2 linked regions of the Lonchura striata genome follow. The protein of the gene in region 2 binds, or shares a complex with, the protein of the main gene of each other region. Links are inferred from orthologs where the notes say so. Each region holds a gene or a part of one and is shown on either strand. Other genes may lie near its edges.

What was found. Proteins that work in one complex are often made in the same cells at the same time.
Region 1: the proteins of BACH1 (region 2) and FBXL17 are in contact, whole or in part, in a cryo-EM structure (PDB 8UAH), measured with the Homo sapiens proteins. The link is inferred for Lonchura striata from reciprocal best matches to the Homo sapiens genes BACH1 and FBXL17. Residues at the interface, in NP_001177.1 of Homo sapiens: Val20, Leu21, Ser23, Leu24, Gln27, Val32, Leu33, Asp35, Phe39, His48, Arg49, Ser50, Val51, Ala53, Ala54, Cys55, Ser56, Ser57, His60, Ser61, Arg62, Val64, Asn72, Thr74, Pro76, His116, Asn117; in NP_001156787.2 of Homo sapiens: Asp395, Arg421, Asn447, Gln473, Gln498, Glu499, Met524, Arg548, Cys574, Leu575, Tyr598, Val600, Ser601, Asp623, Trp626, Met651, Arg652, Val676, Gln678, Asp679, Cys680, Arg682, Thr683, Glu685, Gln689, Trp692.

Annotation. Positions count from the first base shown.
Region 1 is NC_134642.1:78,994,203-79,001,337, reverse strand, and holds the start of FBXL17 (F-box/LRR-repeat protein 17), read left to right. Parts: upstream 1-4,109; 5' UTR 4,110-4,124; coding exon 4,125-4,859; intron 4,860-7,135. UniProt on the Homo sapiens protein: Substrate-recognition component of the SCF(FBXL17) E3 ubiquitin ligase complex, a key component of a quality control pathway required to ensure functional dimerization of BTB domain-containing proteins (dimerization quality control, DQC).
Region 2 is NC_134604.1:4,185,537-4,192,571, forward strand, and holds the start of BACH1 (transcription regulator protein BACH1), read left to right. Parts: upstream 1-3,985; 5' UTR 3,986-4,093; intron 4,094-7,035. UniProt on the Homo sapiens protein: Transcriptional regulator that acts as a repressor or activator, depending on the context. Binds to NF-E2 DNA binding sites. Plays important roles in coordinating transcription activation and repression by MAFK.

The DNA.
Region 1 (7,135 bases), on a different chromosome or scaffold from region 2:
GTTCTGTTTAATATCATCACTGATGATCTGGATAAGGGAATTGAATCTACCATTAGCAAATTCAGGCAACACCAGTTTGGGTGGGTGTGTTGGTCTGCTACAAGGCAGGAAGTCTCTGCAGAGGGATCTGGAAAGCTGGACTGATGGGTTGAGGCCAATGATCTGAGGTTCAGCAAGACCACAAAAACCCCCACATTGCTGCACGCTGGGGCAGAGCTCCGTGTTTATACAGCACCTGGGGGGTCCTGGTAGACAGCAGCTGAATATGAACCAGCTGTGCCCAAGTGGCCAAGAAGGCCAAGGACACCTGGGCTGTATCAACAACAGTGGGGCAGCAGGAGCAGGGCAGTGACCATCCCCCTGGGCTGGGCACCGGTGAGATCACACTGTGAGCACTGTGAGTGCTGTATCCAGCTCTGGGTCCCTCAATTCAACATTGAGAGGCTGGAGTATGTCCAGAGAAGGGAAAAAAGCTGGCAAAGGGTCTGGAGCACAAGTCTGATGACAAGCAGATGAAGATCTGGGTGTATTTAACCTGGAAAAAAGGAGAGCTGGGGTGGGGGTACCTTATCATTCCCTGCAACTCCTTGACCCAAGGCTGTAGCAGGTGGGATCTCTTCTCCCAGGGAACCAGTTACAGGACAAGAGGACATAGTCTTAAGCTGCATCAGGTAAGATTTAGATTGGACACTAAGAAGAATTCCTTCACAGAAAAGGTGATTAGACCTTGGAATGAGCTGTCCAGAGAAGTGGTGGAGTCACTATGCCTGGAGGTGTTTAAGGAAAAGCTGGATGTGGCACTTAGTGCCGTGGTCTAGTTGATATAGTGGTGTTTGGTAAAAAGTTGTATTTGATGATCTCAGAGATCTTTTCCAAACTAATGGATTCTGTAACTGTGTAATCTGCTTGAAGGGAAAATAATCATACCAAATATGCTTACAACAAACACGCTTGTTGTGGTTTAACCTTAGCTGGCAACTAAGAAAAACACAGCTGCTTAGTCCCTTTCACTCCCCCACCCTAGTGGGACAGGGAAAGAACTGGAAGTGTAAAACCAAGAAATAAATTCATGGGCTGAGGTAATTATCAGCAGTTTAATAAGTTAGAAATAGTAATAGTAGTAGTAATAATGAATTGCAAGGAAAAGACAAAAATGAAAATGAAACAAAAAGAGAAGAAATAAAACTCAAGAAAAACAAGTCATTAAGATGAAAAAAAGAATAGCTGAGGTTATACCATGTCAGTTGTTTTGGCACCCAGTGTTGTGTCACCCTGATTCTTAAGATTTTCTAAAGCCTTCTGAGTTTACATTCTGTTAGAAAACTTTCCCACACATTTTCTATAAACAACATATTGTTTTGCATTCCTTAGTGGGGGTGGAGGAAGTTGATGTACTGGTGGTTTGTCCAATGTGTTTGGAGAGGTGGCCCATTCACTCTCCAATCCACTGTCACCTTTTGAAAACAATAAGTATAAAAGTCGGAGTCAGGAAAATAAACCTTCTTTTTTGCCTTGCCATCGTGGTGGCTCGTGTTGTGCTTTCTCGTGCCCTATAGCGACAGTGTAGTGCATGAAGGGTTGAAATAACGGCAGATTTGACTGAATGTGCTACATTGAATTTGTAGCTGTTACTGCTGTTTTGCTATTAATTGGCAGGCTGCTGTGCTTCCCATGGGGCTCGCTTTCCTGTCTGTTGGAACTCAGTGTTTGTTAGTGGCTGCTCTGATTTTGCTGCTGGCTGCACTGCTAGCCACCTCAGTGTGTTGTGCCTGGGGACACTTTGGTGACAGCCATTGCAAAATGCCTGGGCTGGAGGGAGCCTGTGCTCCTGTGCTGCCATACTGGACAGGCTGGAACTCCAATGTGAACTTGAGTCTAGGAGACCGTGACCTGTGGAAGAGTCCACTGCAGAGCAAAGAACCACTGGCAGCCCATGTAGGATCCATGTCCGGGCAGGTGGATGTCCAAAGGCACACATGATCCCATCAGAACATCAATCTGGAGCAGGCTCCTGAAACGAGCTCTGGACCCATGGAAGCAGCTCCTGACGTGAACTGTGAACCCACTCTGGAGCAATTTTTGAAGTACTGCAACGTGTGTGGGAAGGACACACATTGGAGAAGTTGAAGACAGCCAGCATTTATTCTGAGTTCTGATTGGTTTGAAGATTTGATTTGGACTTTCATCTTCTTTTAATGTTATTTTTGTTTTTCCTTACTGAAATAAAATTTTGCAGTCTGTGGGAGGAGGGAGTGTGTGAGCCACCAGGCAGGTAGCTGGGACAGGCACAAACCAATGGCTAAGGCACAAAGAGTGAATTTATGTACATTATCGTGCTAACTTATCATGTTTCAGGAGGAGCCCTGAAGCAACACCTGGGCTACACAAGTGCAGAGCAGGCACTGTTAAACTCAGTCCATATATGAGGATGACTGGTCTGCTGTTCACACAGTCTTACCAAGAGTTACTTCCAGCTGCCTTCTGCTTTTCAACCCATTCTCCCAACAGAGCTGAAAAGGCCTTGCCAATTCTTTTGGTAAAGATTTGCTGTGCTTTATATTGATGAAGCCCATTGAAGTATAAATCCAAACAAAATATTCTATTGTTCTGCTATTATCCAAAGGTATATTTAGTACTTTTCTCATAGGAAACATTTTTAAAGTGCTGCTGAAGACTAATTATAGAGGTAACAAACAAAAATAATAGCAGCATGGGTATTTTAATCCTAACATAACTTGTCCCTGGGCAAAAAGCCAAAACATGTGCTACGCAATATAAAATACTGTGCATTTCTTCTCCTGCCCTTTGTTATTTGATATTAGTACTGAGCCATATATACTCTAGCTGCAACTTGCCTTCTCCTTCCCCAGACACCTTTTACTAAAGAAAAAATTGCACATATATTTAAACTACATATCTAAGACTATACAGCTAAGTCAACTGTTTAGAAGTGAATGCTGAAACAAATTGCTTTTGCTAGGCACTAAGCAGAGTCTTAATTAATGCAGCATCCAGCAAGGATTTACACACCAGGGCACTTGCATCAAGGTTCAACACACTGCAGTTAGAGGTGAGTGTCTGCAGGAGGGCATAGGGGGTCAGAGGTCCCATATGAGCCTTGTTTCCAGATGTACAATGAATTACAGCAGAAAACAACTATTTTCTGGAAAGTGCTGGTGGGAAAATTATGTTGACAGAAGAGAGCTTGGAAAACTGCTCTTGATGGTCTCTAAGCTTGTGTTGCTTTGCCACTGCAAAAACTCAGCCACTGTCCTGCACATAATCTGAGACCAATGGGAAGGGGTCTTCTGAAATTTGCCTACAAAGTGTAGCACAAAAAATTTTATTTCAGTTCCTCAAAAAGATGCATGTATTTTATACGTCTTACGTGTAAATATATATATATATATGGCAATGACCTAAGGGAGGGGGTCCAACAGATGATGGAGGGGGTCCACGAAGATGATGATGGGCCTGGAGCATCTCTCTTGTAAGGGGAAACTGCAGGAACTGGGCCCATTTGGTTTGGAGAGGAGTGGAAGGGGTTCTCAGTAATGGGTATAAATATCTTCAAGGCTGGTGCTAACACGGCGGTGCCAGACTTTTCAGTGACAAGGGGCAGTGGCCATAAAGTAAAACAGAGTAAGTTCCACCTCAGCAAGAACGCCACGTCGAGGGTGACAGAGCATTAGAACAGGTAAGCCGTGCCGTCTCTCTCTCTGAGCACACTCCAAACCCACCTGGATGCACTCCTGTGTCACCTGCTCCAGGTGACCCTGCCTCGGCAGGAGGGTAGAGATGATCTCCAGGGGTGCCTTCCAGCCCTGACGGTTCTGTGGCAATGCACGTACGCTCGTGTCACACGGCGGGCCCGGCCCGGCCTCCAGCGGCCCAGCGCGGCCGCCGCCGCGGCAGCGCCGGCCCGCGGAGCGCCGCCCCCGCTCCCGCGGGAGGTCAGGCCGGCGGTAGCGGAAGCTTCTCCCTCCCTCCCTCCCTCCCTCCCGGCGTCCCGGAACCAGCCCCGCCGCCGCCTCCTGCCCCGGCCTGCCGGCAGCATGTCAGCTGCCGGCGCCGCCTCCCGCAGGTGACACCCGCCCTTCCGCTGCCGCCGCTTCCCTTCCTATATGGGCCACCTGCTCTCGAAGGAGGCAAGGAGCCTAAGCCGGGATCGCCGCCGCCCGCGGGGGAAGGTGCCGCCGCCGCCGCCGCGCAGCCGGAGCTGCTTCCTGCGCGGGCCCTGCATGCTCTGCTTCATCGTTCACGGCGCCAGCCCGCCTGCCCCGGAGCAGCCGCTGCCCGCCGGGGACCCGCTGCCGCCGCCGCCGCCCTACGTGTCGCTGAGCGCCGCGGAGCAGCGCGTGGCCCGCCGCCTCCTGCGCCTGGCGCCCGCCGCCTGGGAACCTCCGGGCCGCTGCCAGCGCCTCTTCCTCTCCGGCCTGCTGCCCTCGCCGGTGCGGGGCCTCCTGGGGCCGCCCGGCGAGGTCTCCTCCGAGATGGTGTGCAAGCGCAAGGGGGCCGGGCTGCCCGCCTGCCCGCCCTGCAAGCAGCCGCGCTGCGCCGCCGCCGAGCCCGAGCCCGGCGCCTGCCAGTGCCCGACGGAGCCGCAGCTGCTCGCCCTGCCCGGCGCCGCGGGGGAGAGCGGCGGGGGCACAGCCGGGCAGAGCGGCGGGGCACAGCCCGCCTCGCCACCGCCTCCCACGGCGCAGGACGAGAAGGAGCAGGGCCGGGAGGAGGAGAAGGAGCGGGGCGGCGAGGCGGGCTGCGAGGAGCCGCTGGAGCACCCCGGCGACAGTTGCCGGGAGCTGCCGCCGCCGCCCACCCTAGACATCAACCAGCTGCCGCCTTCCATCCTCCTCAAGGTGGGTCTGGATGGGGGGTGGACGGGCCAGCCCTCTCCCTGAGGATTCGAGAAGGGGCTGTGCCGGCCCCGGGGCGCCGCTGTCACACGGGGCAGACCCAGTGCGGGGGGGACCGGAGGAGGCTGCCTCCGCGCCTGGCTTTGGGGGGCGGCTTTGGGGGTGTTGTTTGTCGTTGGAAGAGGCGCTGTGAGGCGTTACCTGGAGGTGCACACACATAAATCAGCTCCAGAAGCTGTCTCGTACGTGTTTTGACTGTACCCGTTAACTTAGTAAGGTGCCCTTCACAAGTCGGCTTTTACTTGCTTCACTGGTGCAGTACTGACCAAGGGGGCCTGTCACTGTATTTAGTGCTTCCCTGGGTGTTGGAGCTACGTAGACAAGTTTTCAGTGCTGATTATTAAACAGTTTGTATTGCTGTGCATTATGGATTAATTTTGGCCTTACTAGTTACACAGTGTTTGCCACCTTCTTGAATTACATGCTTTCATAACCTCTTACGCTGTATGTCCAAGGAACATATGTCCAAGTCTCACCTCTCCTGTCCCTTTTACTCTCTTTCTGTTCATTGAATACTGTTCTCCTTTGGAACTACTTTCCATTTTTAAGCTACTCTTTTGACCCCTTTGCTGACTTACTTCGACTAAACATTAGCTAAAAAGAGGAGTCTAGCTGGAACTGAGCCAGTGATGTTTTCCACGGTCTGATGTTAGTGTGCCTTTAAATTTTGGGAATAAGTTTTCAGGATTGCTGGAGTTTCTCAAAGATCAGATGGCTGAACTTAAAGCAGGACACAGTAGTGCAGGAGTGAGAGACATGACTCTTGGTGTTCATGTTTTGCTAGTGTACTTCCTGTACTCTTTTGTTGTCAAACAGTAACAGCCTACTTACCTGTCTGTCTTGCACATAACACTAATTCTGTGGGAGGTTTAGTTGGTTTGAGGGTTTTTTGCTGTTGTTTGTTGGTTTCATTTGTTTTTTTTTAATACTCATAAGCGTGTCAGTAATGTTTCATGGATGTGCTATGCAAATTAATTCTAGGCAGATAAGAATTCATGAGCTGTCATCTGAATTAATCTCATCTGTGATTGCAAAATTGAAACTTTGTCTTGTAGTTCTTCTAGAATGGAAACATTTGTTTGCCACTGTTATTGGAAGATAACTATTTTCTTTGATACTTAGTTTTGGGATTTGAAACTGTTCTCATTTGGTTAGTGTAGCTGAAATGCTTTTTGATCAATGGTGTGAATACTTTTCTGTGGTTACTCTTAAGTACTCAGTTTCACTTTTTGAAAAATATGTGTCTATAGATGTGCCATAACTTTAATAGTGAAAGATGTCCTGTCCATCTTACCTGTGGACCAGTTTAAATGTGATTTAGTGTCTATTTAATTTCTACCTGTGTTTTCAAGGTTATGGGGGTTTTATGTTTGGTTGTTTTTTCTTACAAACATGGGGTTTTGTTTTAACCCCAGGCAGCCACTTGCACAGCACATCCACAGACTGGTTGGGTGTAGAATTCAGGGGGAAAAATGTGTACATTGTGGGTTGTGATAAGAACAGTTTAATAACTGATGAAAAATAAAGTATGCTAACATATATTAGTATAAAATGTTTATATAAAAAGGAGAACAAGAAAGAGAGATCCAGGTGATGCACAAAACATTTGTTTTGTACCAGCCACAAAGCACTGTTACCAGCAGCTGAGAAGAATTTTATCCTATCTGAAATCAGGACAGACATCTACCTTCCTCAGTGATTTTGTCTCTACGGTTGTCCTGTAGTCAGTTCTTTCTGGAATGTCTGAAAAAATAGGCCATTGTTTCCAGCATCTTGGTAGGAGCCAACCCACTCACCCCTCACCCACAAATTTGCCCTCCAATCCATAGATGTACTAATGAGTTGAATTTATGATTTTGGGTTTTTTGGGTTCTTTGAGATATATATATATATATATATATATATATATATATATATATGTGTGTGTGTGTGTGTGTGTGTGTATATGTATGTATGTATATATATGTCTTTATCTATATATCTGTCTCCTAACCATTCCATTGCTTTGGGATTTTTGGTTGCTTCCAAAATATACTACTCTGTCATGGAGCTTTTAACTTCAGATGTGTAACCAGGTGTCCTGTCAACTGGATTTACATTTGCCTTCTTATGATGGATTTTTATACAGGTAGAATATCCTAAATATAGTCCTTTCTCTAAAGGTGTAATTTCATTATGAGAGGGTGGAAGACAAATATACCCAAAATCTTTTTACAGTG
Region 2 (7,035 bases):
GTTTCGGGCTCAGCAGTTTTCTGCCACAGGGACTTAATTCAACCAGAGCCCTCCCAGGTGTGATCCCACAGCAGGACTCGAGGCTGGAAACGCTCATCAAGCCCTGCATGACATATTTTGGGCTCCCCACATGTACCTGCATTTCCTCACAGGGTTCAAGAGAGCTGCTGGGTGAAAATTCCTGGTCTGGACAGCCTGGCTGCAGTAATTTCACCTCCTGAACACCTCTGGTCTTCTCCCAGATCCATCAGCTCAGGCATTGCTGTTTGACAAAATTACAGCCACTGGCAGTGTTTACTCCAAGCTTCCAGGAAGCAAATCTATTTTTCATTAATAAATAATTTTCCTCATTTAAGTATTCTTAGGAGGCTTTTTTAGCTATCCTGCTGCAATTCTCATTCTTTGGTCTTTTCATACAGCTCGTGCAGCCTATCTAAGCAGAACTCTTATTTTCCACAGCTAGCCCCTTTGTTTCCCACCTTTTTGCCATTGTTTACACATGGTTTATATCCCTTCTCGCAGAATCAAAAATAATTCTCATTCTATTAAAGAAAAGAAGCCCCTTTTTTTCCCATTGAAATATTACTGCTTAATTTAAGGATGATGGTTTTAAAAATTATATCTAGAGAGGAAAAAAAAGGGACACCAATTTTCATTTTATGTGAGTCTGGACCATATTAGCAGTAGGTTTAAGAGAATTAAAATTACAATTGCATTTTAAAAGATAGTTTACTAGAACAGGATTTACTTCTAGATAGAAAGCATTTTTTTCTCATTTTTTGTAAAGAGGGAATGTAAAAATATTTTCCTATGATTAACACCATGCTTTCCCAGGACAAACAAAAGACTTTTGTAAGCCAGAAACCACAAAAAAATAAGCATGTGTGTTCCCAAGGATTAGAACAGTATTACACACATACAGCAGAAGACGGTATGGAAATAAATTCTAAAATAATGTGTTCAAAGGCTTCAAAAACCATTTTAAAATAAGAGTCAGTTTTTCACCTCATACATATTGACACAGCCCTGAGGTTTCAATCACTTAGACACATACCACAGTAGCTCCTTGATAGCTCAATTTACAGTTAGAAAATGTTATCTAAATGTAGATTAGAAAACAGCTTTTGTGTTTGCAAGTTCACAGGAGGGAGTGGTTTGGCTTTCATTTATTGGAATGTAAAATGGACGAATTTTATATATGATGCCTACAGAAGTCATATTTAATGTGGCCACATGTGCAACAGGGTTGTCAGCCCCTGTGAAACTAGAAGATGGGCTTTGAACATTAATTTTTCCTAACGATTCCCCAGCACTTTTGCTGTGAAGGATTCTGATGGCAGCATCCTGCAGAACTATGTGGCCATAGGTTTAATCTGGGAGCTATGTCTGTGGCCTGACCCAGTTAGACACATTTCCACCCAAAAGCATGGGACAGGCATCTCCAAAAGGAGTTTCACCACACCTGTCTCAGACAGCAGCCACAGAAAGGGAAAAATTACCCCATGGAGATGCCTGACTAATTAAAGTCCCATTAATGCCACCAATGTATCAGAAAAAAAAAAATCTATTGAAAAAAAAAAAAAAGACATTTTCCCTTCCTTTCTTCTGGTAATATTGTTATTATTTGTTATCATGCACGCTAACTTGTGAGCATTTGTCACCTAAGCTTTTATATTGTTTTAAATGCTTAAAGCATTTGTTATTCATCTGCAGGAAGATGTATGTCCTTGATGTTTAGCTTAGATTCCCAGATCTCCTTTTTAATGGTTTTACTTCTTCGTTTTAGGAAAAAAAAATGGGACTTTGGTTTTTTGTATTTTTCCTCTTCTAGTTGTGTCTAATTTCAACGCAGGAAGTACTTTTGCAGCTCTTCAGTCTGACTGTGAGTGAGAACCAAGCTATTACACTGTAACTTCACTCCCTATTGTGTGGGAAGCAAGAATTGCATCATCCCTAGGATCCAGAACAGGAGATGAAGATCCCTTCTTGGTGGGTGCGGTCCATGATTTTGTAGTCAATCTTTCAACCAAAGTAAGAGCTCCTTTTGTTTTTATTCATTTCTTCCCTCTTCTGTTTTCCTCTCTTCCCCATAAAACTCCTTGTGAAAGACAAAAAAAAAAAAAAAAAAAAAAAAAAAAAAAAAAAAAACAAAACAAAAACTTTCAGTCTAGTAGTAGGCATTTTAAATTTTATGCTTAAACATTGTAAATATCTCACACTTCTGCAACTCAGTTTTTACCATCTAAGCAGTTGTCTTTATTCCTCTCTTCAGGTGTGATTATTGGGGCATTAGGAATTCCCAACAGATGTTAACAGCATGACAACAAGTCATGGAAAACATAAAAAGCAGGCATAGAAACTTTGATTCAGAGTACCTCAAGTATTGTTAGTACCCAAACTATAGACAAATGCTACTTTTTGGATATCATTAGCTAACAGCTGCTCTTAAATTTAAATTCCAACAAATTGCTTAAGTTATTTTGTGATGCAAGTCTTTGTTCTGGTGAATACGTTGACCAACTCATAAACACAAGTAATTAAATTCTGCCTTCTTAACAAGGTGGAAGGCCATTAGCAAATAGACATTGAAGGAAAATCTATATTAGGCTGTACTAAAACTGAAAGCCTACTGTAAAAACAGCTGAAGAAAGTTATGGACACTTAAATACCCGTAAAACAGTGTGTCATTTAAAAAAAATCATTCAAAGGCACACTAAATTATTAAACTGGGTTAAAATATCTTAACAATTAAGTTCCCATTAGCAGTCTTGGCAGTGCATTCATTGGTTGTCATTAGTGTTTTATGCAGGAGCTTCTGAAAGAGGCTGGTGCCTTTGGATAAAGAGGTACGTGGATTTGGGAGGGAGACGAGGGAGAGGAGGGAAAGGAGGGAGAGGAGGATGAGGAAGGTGATGAGGGTGAGGAAGGTGATGAGGGTGAGGAGGGAGAGTGAGGAAGGTGAGGAGAGAGAGGAGGGAGAGAAGGGTGAGGAGGGAGAGGAGGGAGAGGAGGAAGAGGAGAGTGAGGAGAGAGTGAGGAGAGAGAGAGAGGAGGGGAGAGCAGGGGTGAGGAGGGGTGAGGAGTGTGATGAGGAAGATGAGGAAGAGGAGGGAGAGAAGGGGTGAGGAGGGAGAGGAGAGTGAGGAGTGTGATGAGGAAGAGGAGGGAGAGGAGGGAGAGGAGGGAGAGGAGGGAGAGGAGGGAGAGGAAGGTGAGGAGGGAGAGGAGGGAGAGGAAGGGTGAGGAGGGGTGAGGAGGGGTGAGGAGGAAGAGGAGAGTGAGGAAGGTGACAAAGGTGAGGAAGGAGAGGAGGGAGAGGAGGATGAGGAAGGTGATGAGGGTGAGGAAGGTGATGAGGGTGAGGAGGGAGAGTGAGGAAGGTGAGGAGGGAGAGGAGAGAGTGAGGAGGGGAGAGGAGGGGTGAGGAGGGTGAGGAGTGTGATGAGGAAGATGAGGGTGAGGAGGAAGAGGAGAGTGAGGAAGGTGAGGAGGGTGAGGAGGGAGAGAAGGGAGAGGAAGGTGAGGAGGATGAGGAGGATGAGGAGGGAGAAGAGGGAGAGAAGGGAGAGGAAGGTGAGGAGGGTGAGGAGGGAGAAGAGGGAGAGAAGGGAGAGGAAGGTGAGGAGGGTGAGGAGGGAGAGAAGGGGTGAGGAGGGAGAGGAGAGTGAGGAGTGTGATAAGGAAGAGGAGGAAGAGGAGGAAGAGGAGGGAGAGGAGGGAAGGTGAGGAGAGGTGAGAGAGGAGGAGAAAGGAGGGGTGAGGAGGGTGAGGAGTGTGAGGAGAGTGACGAGGACCCGTCGCTCTGCAGCCGCCCCGCGCGCCGGCGGGGCCGCGCATGCGCGGCGGCGCGCGGCGGCGTGGGCGGCCGCGCGTCGGCGGCGAGCGCGGCGTCCAATGGGCGCGCGGGGCGTGCGCGGGGCGTGCGCGCGCCGGGGGGGGGCGGGCGGTCACCTGACGCGCGCGCCGCAGTCGGGCCGCAGCCGCAGCCGCAGCCGGAGCCGGGAGCGGCGGGGCCCGGGCGGGACGGGACCGGACCGGCTGAGGCGGCAGCGGTGCTGCCGCTGCCCTCCGGCCCGCGGCGGCGGGCACCGAGGTAACGCCGAGCCGGCCGCCGGCGGGAGCGTGCGCCGCGAGGGGCTGGCGGCGGGGGCGCTGAGGCGGCGGGGCGGGGGTCGCAGCGCGCCCGCGGGGCCGGGGCCGGCGGCGCGGCCTTCTCCCGGGGCGGGGCGGTGGCGGAGGCTCCGGCAGCGGCGGCTTTCCCTCGGCGGCGGCTCGCTGAGGGTGTCGCCCCTTCCCCCGAGACCTCCCGGCTCGGTGCCCCGGTTCGCAGGGCTGCCCCCGCCGCGCTCCCGGCTCTGCGAAAGGGCCGGCTCGGCCCCGCCGGGGGCTCGGCCGCGCTGCCGGGCTCAGGCGTGCAGCCGGCGCTTGCTTCCCTTTGGGGGCAGCCGGCGAAGGTCTGCTTTGGACTGTAAACAACGAAATACAAACCCTGTCCCTCCTGCTCGGTGCGCTGAGATCCTTCGCGTGTTTTGGGGCTCGGTGGAAAGGTGGTAATCGCAAAAGAGCAGTTATCTATTTTAGCCCGACAGTAATCCCAAAATCATCTGCAGCTCGGTCTTCCAAATCTTTATTAAACTAAAAAAGGAGGGAGAAAGTGTTCTAGCACTGGAGCTGTATGTCGAGTGAATTTTGACAGGTTAATTTGAGGCACTTGAGGAAGGCAGTTTCTCCGTGTTGAAATACACCTGTCTGCAGTAATGGAGTAATTGCCATCCAGAAGCACTGTAAATTAAGGTGATGCAGCACTCTGAATGCTCTAGCATATAGAGTTGGCTCTTTAATCTCAAATATTGCACCTCACAGCAAGAAAAGAAAGGAGTATATTGCTGTCAACATGATGAGTATGAATTAGACCACAAAATATGGTTTGTAATGCGAGTTTAACTTTAAAGATTACTTAAATAGCATAATTACTCTTGGATGCCCTAACTCAAGTGAGTAAGCCTTGTATGTACCTTAGCAAGCAGTGAGGCCCAAACCAGAAAGATTTGCAGGGAGAAACAGTTGTCACTGGTAACTGAATACCCGCTGTGTTTTTCAGAAGGATTCTAAATCTCTTAGTATTTGACATTCTTGAGAACTTCTAGAGTGTGTTTTCCAATTTACTTTAAAAAAAGAGCCTACTATTGTTGTCTGGGTTCATCTTGTGATGTGAATGAAAGCATGATAAATGGGGTGTTAGGGAAGTTTGCTTCACTAGCACGCTCCTGATTTTAACCAAAATGCTGAAGTACAGCTTTAGCTTCCATCAGCTGTATCTTTTGAGTTTATGTGTAAAAATATGGAAGATCTGAATGTGTTAAATGTTTAATTGCTTTTAATCGGTTCTAATATTCTTATGCAAAGGATACTTCGAACACTATTAATTTTTTTATTGTAGAAATGGTCTAGTGTTAAAACCCATACCCTTTACCTGATCCTTTGGATCAGGTGGGCACTCTTGTTAGGTGTAGAATAGACAGGTCTTTGCACATGAGTTCTGTAAGTCCCAAATAACTCTGCCCTATGGTTCAGGGAAACGCAGCTCAACAAGTCTCCTTGTCATTATCATCCCCACCTTCCAAGTTTGATCATCAGTGTATTTCTTTAAACACTTAATGGGTTTTCTTTTAACCATAGTCCTCTCTTTTTGCACTGGGCATGCTGGTGTGGAGGCAAAGAAGAGTGGCAGATCAGTTTGAGTCTGAATGCTGGGATTTTAATTGTCCTGTAGAATTCAACCACTGAAAGTTTCATGGGGGAGGTTCTGGGGAGTAGGAGACAACACTGTGGTATTCATAATGTGAGTCCTGTTTATATGTAGTCCTTAGTTGAACCAGAGGTGGTGTGTTAGTTGATGCAAGTGTGGGTAGGAACAAAACATTGACTGAGCCAAAATTAACTGCTGAACCAATCATTAAGTCGTGCAGATTCAGCCTAGTGTGACCACAGTGGGGATAATGTGTGACGATCCACCTGCAGATTTCCCTGCCCACACCTCTAGTTCAGAAGTAAGCAGTCTGGAGAGGGGACTAAAAGTGATGGAAAGGCTTATTTGGCTGTAACAAATCAAAGACTGCATCACAAGTCACTCTGTTTCCAGTAGTATGCAGTGTTTTTTGGTTAAGTCACTCTTAAGGATGGAAGGAAGTTTTGTTCTTGTTAAGTATGAAGGGAAAATGTAGTATTTGGTATAAAAGTGAGTTAGAATGTCAGAATAAGGCTCAACTGACCAATCAGCTACTGAAGCTTTAAAAAGGGGAAAGTGTGTTGTGAAGGGTAAATTAACTGTAGAAGCATTGTTGAAATACAAATAAATTGAGTTTAATTATTAAACATACATTGGAGAGTGTAAGAGGTGTAGCCTAGGGTATCAGTAACTAAATGTCTTTAAATGAGAGCCTGTGTCTTAAAGAATATTTAATTAATGTTAGAAATTGTGTTTAGATACTTTGTGAATGACTTTATTTGAGCTGTCAACATAATGTTTGTAGGTGTTTGGATTCCAGTCTTGGCCCATTGACAAATACTATGATAAGTAAATATATGGCAGTTGCTTGCCCTGTTCATGCTGCTTTTAAGGTCATCAAATCACAGAATCCTGGAGTGGTCTGCATTGGAAGGGACCTTAAAGATCATCCATTTCCAACCCTCTGCCACGGGCAGGGACAGCTTCCACTAGAACAGGTTGATCCAAGTCCCGTCCAACCTGGCTTTGAGCACTTCAGAGATGGGGCAGCCACAGCTTCTCTGGGCAACCTGTGCCAGGGCCTCACCACCCTCACAGAACAGATTTTTTCTAATAGCTAAGCCTGCCTTCTTTAAATTTGAAACCATTCCTCCTTGTCCTGCCAGTCCAGACCCTTGTCCAGAGTTTCCCTCCAGCTCTTGGAGCCCCTTTGGGCACTATCAGGGTCTCTAAGGTCTCCCTGGAGCCATCTCTTCTCCAGGATGAGCACCCCCAGCTCTCCCAGCCTGTCTCCAGAGCAGAGGGGC